3 linked regions of the Nothobranchius furzeri genome follow. Each later gene encodes a partner of the first gene's protein in a complex. Links are inferred from orthologs where the notes say so. Each region holds a gene or a part of one and is shown in the gene's direction. Other genes may lie near its edges.

The links. The genes of interacting proteins can lie anywhere in the genome.
Region 2: the proteins of rbl1 (region 1) and ppp2r2aa are in contact, whole or in part, in a cryo-EM structure (PDB 9C6B), measured with the Homo sapiens proteins. The link is inferred for Nothobranchius furzeri from reciprocal best matches to the Homo sapiens genes RBL1 and PPP2R2A. Residues at the interface, in NP_002886.2 of Homo sapiens: Ser615, Pro616, Leu617, Met618, His619, Pro620, Arg621, Val622, Val625, Arg626, Ser629, Leu632; in NP_002708.1 of Homo sapiens: Lys88, Tyr178, His179, Asp197, Leu198, Met222, Glu223, Glu224, Leu225, Thr226, Glu227, Val228, Ser247, Arg278, Ser279, Phe280, Phe281, Ser282, Glu283, Ile284, Ser287, Tyr337, Phe343.
Region 3: rbl1 (region 1) and mybl1 share a complex: the UniProt entries of both Homo sapiens proteins name them as parts of the DREAM complex. The link is inferred for Nothobranchius furzeri from reciprocal best matches to the Homo sapiens genes RBL1 and MYBL1.

The regions. Positions count from the first base shown.
Region 1 is NC_091743.1:73,535,670-73,539,846, reverse strand, and holds the start of rbl1 (retinoblastoma-like protein 1), read left to right. Parts: upstream 1-1,377; 5' UTR 1,378-1,500; coding exon 1,501-1,662; intron 1,663-3,900; coding exon 3,901-4,034; intron 4,035-4,177. UniProt on the Homo sapiens protein: Key regulator of entry into cell division. Directly involved in heterochromatin formation by maintaining overall chromatin structure and, in particular, that of constitutive heterochromatin by stabilizing histone methylation.
Region 2 is NC_091757.1:37,259,148-37,262,647, reverse strand, and holds part of ppp2r2aa (serine/threonine-protein phosphatase 2A 55 kDa regulatory subunit B alpha isoform), read left to right. Parts: intron 1-2,136; coding exon 2,137-2,301; intron 2,302-2,521; coding exon 2,522-2,691; intron 2,692-2,778; coding exon 2,779-2,870; intron 2,871-3,500. UniProt on the Homo sapiens protein: Substrate-recognition subunit of protein phosphatase 2A (PP2A) that plays a key role in cell cycle by controlling mitosis entry and exit. Involved in chromosome clustering during late mitosis by mediating dephosphorylation of MKI67.
Region 3 is NC_091747.1:51,681,174-51,684,568, reverse strand, and holds part of mybl1 (myb-related protein A), read left to right. Parts: intron 1-15; coding exon 16-141; 3' UTR 142-3,395. UniProt on the Homo sapiens protein: Transcription factor that specifically recognizes the sequence 5'-YAAC[GT]G-3'.

The DNA.
Region 1 (4,177 bases):
AACTGCACTGCACAGTTTTTACCTGACAACGGCACAACACTGACAGTTTTAGGCAGAAAATTTAAATTTTTACTAAAATGCACTAAAGTGCAAAATTACTGACTACACGTGTCTACAGCATGATTAGACACACATTTATATAGTTTATCAGAAAAAAAGTTGATTTGGGGGTGACTTTCTCTTTAAACTAACTGTAATATTTAAACAATAAATCATTTGAAGTTAGAAATAAAATAGTTTAAAGCTGGTTTTAAGGGTGTGTTTAGTCTTGTAATAATCAAGTCTGGTAACTTTCTACGTATGTTGGGTTTAGCAGAATGCTACTTTAGACCATCGGTTAGAGGTTTGTTTTTATAATGAAGACTATCACAAATTTGGTGGTGTTGCTGTGAACATCCTTTATGCTGTTATTACACTATATTTTTAAAAAGATGTGGTTATGGGTTTGACTTTATTGTCTCTTAATTCATCAATAAACTGAATCTGAGCAAAAATGTTTTGAGTTTGTGTTCATTCATTCTTTTAAATGGACAATGTTCCATTTACTATAAAACAACCAAACATGTCTTATATAAATAATTATTTTACTTTAAATTAAGATAGCTTGTGTTATATTTATGGGTTTTTAGAGGTTTTGCAACCGGTGGATCTGGAGCCACATGATTCTAGAAATGCAAGTGGGGGCCAAACAAAAGCACTTCAAGAGCTACAAATAGCCCCCAACCTGCAAATTGGACATGGAGAGAAAAATAGATATGTTGTTGGTGTTTTTAACAAAGTTTTTTTAACAGTGTTTTGAGCATTGCTGTTTTTTTTTTATTAAACAGCTATTTCATTAACATTTTAGAGTATTAAAGACAATAATTCTTGGCAGGCTCTGCAGTCTGCATCGTTCTAAAAATTGTATTTTATAGGGTATACTACATAATATGTTAACTCATTCCCTTTGTAGACAACAATAGGAATAAGAACACTTAAAAGGTCACCTTGTAACATTCGTTTTATTCTAAGACTCAATCCGATTTTGTGGATTGTATTTTGTAAAAAAAAAATCACTTTTTTAAACCTTTGATTAGATGAGCAGGAATTCTATAATAACAGAACACTGCCCTCTGCACGTTAGTTAACGAATTGCTACCAAATTGTTATTGCATACTTCTTTTCTCGACTTCTCGGCATATTTTGTAATTTTACTTTTTAAAGTTAATTATTTCAGACAGCTGTAACTCCATAAAAAGGTGGTTTTAATTAGGAGCGACCTCCTGAAGGAGACCGAGAGGGGTAGGGCAAGAGGGCGAGAGGGCTTCGCATGTCTTGACTTTGATTGGTCAGAGCAGCAGGGTTTTCGCGCCAACGCACTGCATTGTGGGAACTGTAGGCGGAAGTGGGATGCTCGTGGAGCCTGTTTGTTGGTGTTTGGGAGAGGGCAGCGTTTTGCTGGTTAACGTCTGGCTCTGGGGGTTGTTTAAAACTTGATGCTGTAGCTGTACATTGGAACGAATGCGGGGTGACGAGTCGTCGGACTCCGAGTCGGGCAGGATGGAGGAAAGTTCAGTCCGAAGGAGTTTGGAGACATTGTGTCAGGAGCTGAACATGGACGAACAGACCGCTACTGAAGCTATGGACAACTTCACAGCCATATGGAACACATACACTCTGGAGGTGAATAATGTTCTTTAATAACAAGTTACTGTCGAATTAATCAGCCACAACTTTCATCCTACATAGAACTGGATTTCAGTGCTGACACACACTGAGATTAAAGGGATTCAACAACTGACCTGTTTTTAATCTTCCATCCAGGAACAGAAACATATTGTCGAGCAGTCGATCGACGGCATTTGCAAACGTCAGACAAAACCGGACAAAACAAAACAATTATTTTTAGTTTATGACTGACTGATTATTAACAAATATTAAAATCCTCCTGAAATTACATAAGAATAATAAAAAATAATCAAATTGAAATATTTTTTCCAGGTAAAATATATTTTACCGTAAAACAACTATGACTGTCTTTTATTTGTGGTAAAACCATGGGTAGAACATGGTAGTGACATCTGAGTGAATAATAAATCCGTTTTATTTAAATGGATCGGCTTTATTTAAGGTCTGACCAATAATAACAATGTTTAAGATTTCTTTAGTCTGATAACAAAGCAGCAGATGTTCTTTTTCAATTAATATCAGTTTTATTGTTCATACATACTATTGACATCTTAATTAAAAGCAGTTTCCTTTTAACATCGTATCAGAAATCACTATATAATCCTGATTTTTGTTGTTCACCCTGATTAGTATCAGAATTGTTTGTTTGTTTGTTTTTGCCTTTGAATCCGTGTGACAGGAACATAGACAACTGTAGTGCAGTCAGTTTGAAGCATCGTCTAAAATGACGGGACATCAACAAAAGTTGTGCAGTGTTTGTTAGAAGACTTCTGTCTGAGGGATGGGTGTAAACACTGATTATATCCTCAGGGGTCAAAGGTGATTCACGGAAAGAAACGTTCACACAGAGAGGTGTTACAAGGTTATTTTATTCAAAACGATTCTAATCCTAATCTAGGTACAGATTATGAAAGATTAGTTTGTACCTGACAATTTAACCTCCTACAGCTAATGATGCTAGTTGGCTTTGTTTACATCGTTACCTATTAATAATAATGCATTTTATTTAAAAGCGCCTTTCTGGTCACTCAAGGACACTGTACAGAATAAAAACACAAATCATTCAATAAGTAAACATACGTAAACATCAACAAACAAGGCTCTCTAAAATTCAAAGTTGATATGTGGTAATGAAGAGGTGGGTTTTGAGTTGTTTTTTGAATTCTGTGAATGAGTTAATGTTCTTGATGAGAGGGGGAAGGGAGTTCCAGAGTTTGGGAGTGGTGCCGCTGAAGGCTCTACTCCCCATGGTGCTGATACGGAAGGAGGGCACAGAGAGATGAATGGAGGAGGAGGACCTGAGGGAACGGGACGAGGTGACGATGTGAACGAGATCTGTGAGGTAGTGAGGGGCGAGGTTTTGGATGGCCTTGAAGGTGAGAAGGAGAATCTTGTAGTTAATCCTGGTGTGCACTGGTAGCCAATGGAGTTGTTTGAGGATGGGGGTGATGTGATGAGAGATGGGAGTTTTAGTGACGATGCGTGCTGCTGCGTTCTGGACCAACTGGAGCTTACGGAGGATTTTCTGAGGGAGGCCTGAGAGAAGAGAGTTGCAATAATCGATACGCGATGTAACCAGACTATGGACAAGAATAGAAGTAGAGTGGACATCAAGGGAGGGGCGAAGACGATTAATGTTACGAAGATGGAAATAAGCTGACCGTGTGATGCTATTGATATGAGATTGGAAGGATAGTGTGCTGTCTAGGATGACACCCAGACTCTTGACCTGGGGAGAGGGGGAAACTGAATTAACCTCAAATGATTCAGTTATGCTTTTAAACATAAGGCCTCTAACCAAACAGATGCTCCGTTTATCTTTGAGTTTATCTGTCATTCAGAAATGGTTGCTTCTCTGATTTATTAATGAAAAATATTTGTTTGAGAAATTGACCTTCAAAAATACTAATAGTCTGTCTGTATTATAAAAACATATCTCCAATAGATGATAAAATGCTAGTCGTTAAACTCTTCTGAATTATAAATAATTGGACCATTCAGCTGTCTCATTAATTAAAGATGGCAGAATTTTGCGTGCAAAAATCAAACATAGTAATTAAAATGTGCACATAGGTTTTCAGTCATGTTCCGTGTAGTTCTGTTTGCTGTTTCTGCAGCTATTCTTGTATCTGCTGAGTCGCTCTGTGTACTGGAAATAGTGGAGTATTAGTTTCCCAGTTTGCTGTTTATGCTGAGTGAAGACAATTAAAGTGATTTGCTGTTTGTCTGCAGGGGGATGTGGTCCACTGGCTGGCCTGCTCGCTGTACGCTGCCTGCAGGAAGGGGTCCATTCCCACTGTGGGAAAAGGGCTGATGGAGGGAAACTGTGTCTCGCTCACCAGGATCCTTCGCTGCTCCAAACTCAGGTTCAGCGCTATAAACACATGTTTTGTCTCTACGATCCTTATTCTGGTATCTCTGTGTTCTGGTTTGTTCTTAGGGGTTTCTAGAAAACAAATGCAGTTTTAAATAGGGATGCTCTTATCCGGTCCAAGCTAACGTGTCGCCT
Region 2 (3,500 bases), on another chromosome or scaffold:
CGCTCAGGCATCGCCTGTAGCATTTGCCATCAGTAGCTTTAGCAGCAGAGAGAGAGGTAGTGCCAACTCAGCGACTTTGTCGCTGTTCCTAACGCCTAGTGATAAACCTAGCTACATTTCTGAGGACCCTTAGCTACTTTCTTCTAGATATTTCCTGCAAATTAGCAACAAAATAGCCATTTTCGCTCCGAACCGTTCTTTGACCATTGTTTCAGCTGTTATCAACGATATAAATGTTACAGATACAAATGACGTCACTGGTGCTTTAGCTCACCTAGTAAGATGTTGGACTCTCGTGCAGAAGACCCGGGCTTGATTCTCAATGTGAATATGGTTTAGTTAAGAGTTTATTTTTTACATTGATGGTATATTTTTTTACAGTAAGATGCTCAAATTTTTATTTGAGACTCACCGAACGGCATTGAATTCACAGATAAAAAAGATGTGGGTTCAACTTTCATTTTGGATTAATTTTTCAAGCAAGGGAAGGGAATTATCTGAGCATGCAGGAAGACTGACCCATCATAAACCTTTGTTGGCTGTGCTGAAGAGAAAGGTACAGAACCAAATCATTTAATTAATTAGCTGCATGTTGTCCTGTCCTCTGTCCTTTGGGCCACACACACACACACACACACACTCGGGACTGTCTCAGCTGTTATTTTCGTTAAGGAGTGTGCACGTACAGCATGCGCGCCTCGTGCACGAGCCTACTATTGAAGCTGCTGTTACGCTTTTGACCTGAGGGAGCATTCGCGAACATAAAAATTCAAAACACCGTAAAGTCCCTTTAATTCTACATGGCATTGATTCAACAAGGTGCTGAAAGCATTCTTTAGAAATGTTGGCCCATATTGATAGGATAGCATCTTGCTGTTGATGAAGATTTGTGGGATGCACTTCCAGGGCACGAAACTCCCGTTCCACCACATCCCAAAGATGCTCTATCGGGTTGAGATCTGGTGACTGTGGGGGCCATTGTAGTACAGTGAACTCATTGTCATGTTCAAGAAACCAATTAGAAATGACTGGAACTTTATGACATGGTGCATTATCCTGATGGAAGTAGCCATCAGAGGATGGGTACATGGTCAGAAACAATGCTCAGGTAGCCTGTGGGATTTAAACCAAGCCCATTTGGCACTAAGGGGCCTAAAGTGTGCCAAGAAAACACCCCCTACACCATCACACCACCACCACCAGCCTGCACAGTGGTAACAAGGCATGATGGATCCATGCTCTCATTCTCTTTATGCCAAATTCTGACTCTACCATTTGAATGTCTCAACAGAAATCGAGACTCATCAGACCAGGCAACATTTTTCTAGTCTTCAACTGTCCAATTTTGGTGAGCTCGTGCCAATTGTAGCCTCTTCATTACTATTTGTAGTGGAGATGAGTGGTACCCGGTGGGGTCTTCTGCTGTTGTAGCCCCTCCGCCTCAAGGTTGTGCATGTTGGTGCTTCACAAATTCTTTGCTGCATTCCTCGGTTGTAACGAGTGCTTATTTCAGGCAAAGTTGCCCTTCTATCAGCTTGAATCAGTCGGCCCATTCTCCTCTGACCTCTAGCATCAACAAGGCATTTTCGCCCACAGGACTGCTGCATACTGGATGTTTTTCCCTTTTCACGCCATTCTTTGTAATCCCTAGAAATGGTTGTGCGTGAAGATCCCAGTAACTGAGCAGACTGTGAAATACTCAGACCGGCCCGTCTGGCACCAACAACCACGCCTGTCATATTTTTATATCACCACTAGATGTCTCCAAGCTAAGATTTGAGTTTTTTCTTTTTTTGAATCCTCAAAGTTTTTAACAATTTTTTGCTCTTTCTAATCGTTTTCCTACCTTTGATCTGGAATCGGCATCAAAAGATTTTTCAAACACAATTTCCTGATTTAGCTGCAGGAGGAGAAAGGATCCATGCAGGAATGTCTGCAAGTGAGGAAGCATAAGTACGAACTCTGCAGGATTTTCTGAAGCATTCATAGTAAGATGCAATCTCAAAACAGTGCACATTCCACAGGAGCAACATTAAAAACCGCAGTGTTCATTTGTACATCTAAGTTTGTATAAGAATTTTCTTTTCAGTTGTAGAAATATCTGTTTTGGCTTTCACCTTAACCTGAGTTCTTCAGATATTGTTGACATTAAACCTGCCAACATGGAGGAGCTGACAGAAGTGATCACAGCGGCGGAGTTCCACCCTAACCAGTGCAACACCTTTGTTTACAGCAGCAGCAAGGGAACCATCCGTTTGTGTGACATGAGGGCATCAGCTCTGTGTGACAGACACACAAAATGTAAGTCTGTGTTTGTGCTGCAGGTCTGCTGCCAAATTTAGCTTTTTGCACATTTTAAAGTGTTTTATTTAATTTCTTTTTCTTACTCTGATTAAGTCATTCATCTTTTCAGCACTGAAATTTTTAAACTGTTGCACGGTTATTTAGAAACTGTTTCCTGCCCTTGTTATTCAGTTTACATCTGTATAATCTATCAACATGAATGTGTTTGCCTTTTAAGTGTTTGAGGAGCCTGAAGATCCAAACAACCGTTCGTTCTTTTCTGAGATCATCTCATCCATCTCTGATGTGAAGTTCAGCCACAGCGGGCGCTACATGATGACACGTGACTACTTGTCGGTCAAAGTTTGGGATCTCAACATGGAAACGCGACCAGTAGAGACATATCAGGTCTGTAACTGATGACGTGGGCACACTTTGGTGTTTTCTTAACGTGATTAAACGAAATGTTACTTTCTGATTGTTGTGTTTGAACAGGTGCATGAATATCTCAGGAGTAAGTTGTGTTCACTTTATGAGAACGACTGCATCTTTGACAAGTTTGAATGCTGTTGGAATGGAAATGACAGGTGAGCCCTTGCTATTTTTATTTGTGTAACCGGATTACAGGATACAATAAGATAATTAAAAGAAAAAATAAACAAATGGGCCAATAATTAGGTTCGGGGAGAATTGGAGGTTGTTTAAGAATGACTGGAGTCACGGGTATAGCATGAAACGGTTTATATACTAAATTTTAATAATAATGGGAAATATAACGCATAAAGATAACACACAAAAACAGATGAAAACAATCGACAACAGTAAAATGCTCGGTATGAGATTTGATCATATGAGTCACAAGTCAGCCGGCGTCAAGTCAAATCCCCACGCTTGGGGTGAAAGTCAGAGTCCGGTGGTGCGATTTTTTCCTACCGCACCGTTGAGATTGTTCACAGAAGAGAGCAGTCTGCTCTTCAGTTACTTGAGATGTCCTGGTTCGTTCAGTGGTTAAGGCTCGCCATCTCCCTCGTCAGGAAGAAATCCAGTTCTCGTTCCAAGTGAGTGATCATAGGAGTCGGGATCAAACCCAAGGAAAAAAAAAAACCCAGCCTGTAAACAACAGGACTGTTAGCAAGTTGGCATCGACCCTTCTCGTCACATCACAGCATAAAGTCTTACAGACTTAAACAAATGCTTCACTCTATTGGCATAGCCAA
Region 3 (3,395 bases), on another chromosome or scaffold:
CCTCTTCCTCTGCAGGTAAGTGAGTGGGAAGCAGTGGTTTATGGGAAGACTGAGGACCAGCTCATCATGACAGAACAGGCTCGTCAGTACCTGAACCCCTTTTCATCGTCTGGCTCTACCTCAAGGGCTCTGGTGCTTTAAAGGCCATCCCCTTCAGCTAGCAGCATTACATCCGACTCAAACGTCCACCAAGTCCCCGTGGGAGACAATCCACGGAGCAGAAACACCGTCCACATACAGGCACGGCTGCTGGTACTGTTAACGCATGCTTAGGTCACGTAGTTCATACTGATCAGTAGCTTCAGACTTATACAGTGGGGGAAAAAAGTATTTAGTCAGCCACCGATTGTGCAAGGTCTCCCACTTAAAATGATGACAGAGGTCAGTAATTTTCATCATAGGTACACTTCAACTGTGAGAGACAGAATGTGAAAAAAAAATCCATGAATTCACATGGCAGGATTTTTAAAGAATTTATTTGTAAATCAGGGTGGAAAATAAGTATTTGGTCAATAACAAAAATTCAACTCAATACTTTGTAACTTAACCTTTGTTGGCAATAACAGAGGTCAAACGATTACTATAGGTCTTTACCAGGTTTGCACACACAGTAGCTGGTATTTTGGCCCATTCCTCCATGCAGATCTTCTCGAGAGCAGTGATGTTTTGGGGCTGTCGCCGAGCAACACAGACTTTCAACTCCCTCCACAGATTTTCTATGGGGTTGAGTTCTGGAGACTGGCTAGGCCACTCCAGGACTTTCAAATGCTTCTTACGGAGCCACTCCTTTGTTGCCCGGGCGGTGTGTTTGGGATCATTGTCGTGTTGGAAGACCCAGCCACGTTTCAACTTCAAAGCTCTCACTGATGGAAGGAGGTTTTGGCTCAGAATCTCACGATACATGGCCCCATTCATTCTGTCCTTAACACGGATCAGTCGTCCTGTCCTCTTAGCAGAAAAACAGGCCCAAAGCATGATATTCCCACCCCCATGCTTCACAGTAGGTATGGTGTTCTTGGGATGCAACTCAGTATTCTTCTTCCTCCAAACATGACGAGTTGAGTTTATACCAAAAAGTTCTACTTTGGTTTCATCTGACCACATGACATTCTCCCAATCCTCTGCTGTATCATCCATGTACTCTCTGGCAAACTTCAGACGGGCCTGGACATGCACTGGCTTCAGCAGCAGAACACGTCTGGCACTGCAGGATTGGATTCCCTGCCGTTGTAGTGTGTTACTGATGGTGACCTTTGTTACTGTGGTCCCAGCTCTCTGCAGGTCATTCACCAGGTCCCCCCGTGTGGTTCTGGGATTCTTGCTCACCGTTCTCATGATCATTTTGACCCCACGGGATGAGATCTTGCGTGGAGCCCCAGATCGAGGAAGATTATCAGTGGTCTTGTATGTCTTCCATTTTCTGATAATTGCTCCCACAGTTGATTTTTTTCACACCAAGCTGCTTGCCTATTGTAGATTCACTCTTCCCAGTCTGGTGCAGGTCTACAATTCTTTTCCTGGTGTCCTTCGAAAGCTCTTTGGTCTTGGCCATAGTGGAGTTTGGAGTCTGACTGTTTGAGGCTGTGGACGGGTGTCTTTTATACAGATAACGTGTTCAAACAGGTGCCATTAATACAGGTAACTAGTGGAGGACAGAAAAGCTTCTTAAAGAAGACGTTACAGGTCTGTGAGAGCCAGAGATTTTCCTTGTTTGAAGTGACCAAATACTTATTTTCCACCCTGATTTACAAATAAATTCTTTAAAAATCCTGCCATGTGAATTCATGGATTTTTTTTCACATTCTCTCACAGTTGAAGTGTACCTATGATGTAAATTACTGACCTCTGTCATCATTTTAAGTGGGAGAACTTGCACAATCGGTGCCTGACTAAATACTTTTTTTGCCCCACTGTATTTTAACATATTATTTAAAAGCCGACATAACGATACTGGTGTGTCTCGCCCCGTTGCTGTTATGAGATAAAAACAACACTCATGCTGCCGTTTTTAAAATCACACTAAATCACACTTTTAAATACAACACCAATCATTGTTTTTCATTAAAAAAACAGCAGCGTGGTTGTTGTAACAGTATGTGGGAATGTTTTCTGTCAGTATTGCACTACTGAGATAATTTTGCTGCTGAGGAAGGAGCGTGATTATTATTATTATTTTTTATGAGCAGACTGGATAGCACTTCTGAATAACAACACAACGTTTCCTTTCCAAGGCCATAAAAAAATCAGCTGAATGTATTTCATTGCAATGGAAGAACCTCAAACATGGAAGGGTACTTTATTGTTTATTTCTAATTGTTTTATTTATTTTTCAGTTTTTAAAGCTTAGATATTAATATAAATCAGACAACATAAGGTCTAACTGCTGACAAAACAGCCTAAAAACTCTCTTGCTCTAAGCATTGCTACCTTTTATTTTTCAACTTTCAGTCCCGGTGATTCATTCTGACTTCATACCACAAAAATCAAGCATTTGGCTGAGAAGGATTATAGTTTTCATGTGAAGGCTGTAGGTTCTATTTATTTACTATTTATTTATTTCTTTGAAAAAGAAAACCTTTAAGAAGAATTATTGAAGAATTTTATCAATCTTTTCACTTTTAAAATCAGGATTGGGCTACAGTTCATTTTCCTGCACTGCCATTCATTTTAATTTGAACTTCTCTTGATCGTACGAGATGTAGAAAATAATGTTGTAGATATGTGAGTGATGTTGTAACATAGATGAGGCTTTTTCCTCACCTTTAAATTAAATGTCGCTGTTAGGTAGCAGGACACCATCTCCGACCTCTAATCATGGACAAATTGCACTTTTTATTCATTTGAATAAAAATTTTAAGTTCATTTGAAGGATGTAGCTCTTGTTTATGTGTTTTAGATGTGTTTCTGTCTATGTTAGTTACTGCTGCTTGATTTTCTCCCGTTTGGCTGTGAAAAGGTGTGTTAAGTTCTCCTTGTCCAGTATCTCACTAGGCTGTTGACGACCAGACAGCTATGCAAACTTGAAAGAAAGTCGACACATTTTCAATTTAGAACAAGTCTAAATCGGTTCTTAAGTTATTCTTTTACGAAGTTTTATATTGTCAGTTCATGAGGGATGTAAGATGTAACAAACCGCTATTTAGTCAAGTCAAAATTTGTTTAACCCTCCCACCGTCCTAATGGGTGTGACCCTGTGAGGAAAGCTGACCATTGAGCGGGGTTGATGGTTTATCCCTTGGGTCCATGTGGCAGGGGTGAGGAGTGAGCACCACCTCACCCCTGCCACATTGACCTCAAGGGATAAATCACCAACCCTGCTCGATGGTCAGCTTTCCTCACGGGATCACCCATAAAGACAGTGGGAGGGTTAAAAAGCACATTTAAGAAATATCTGC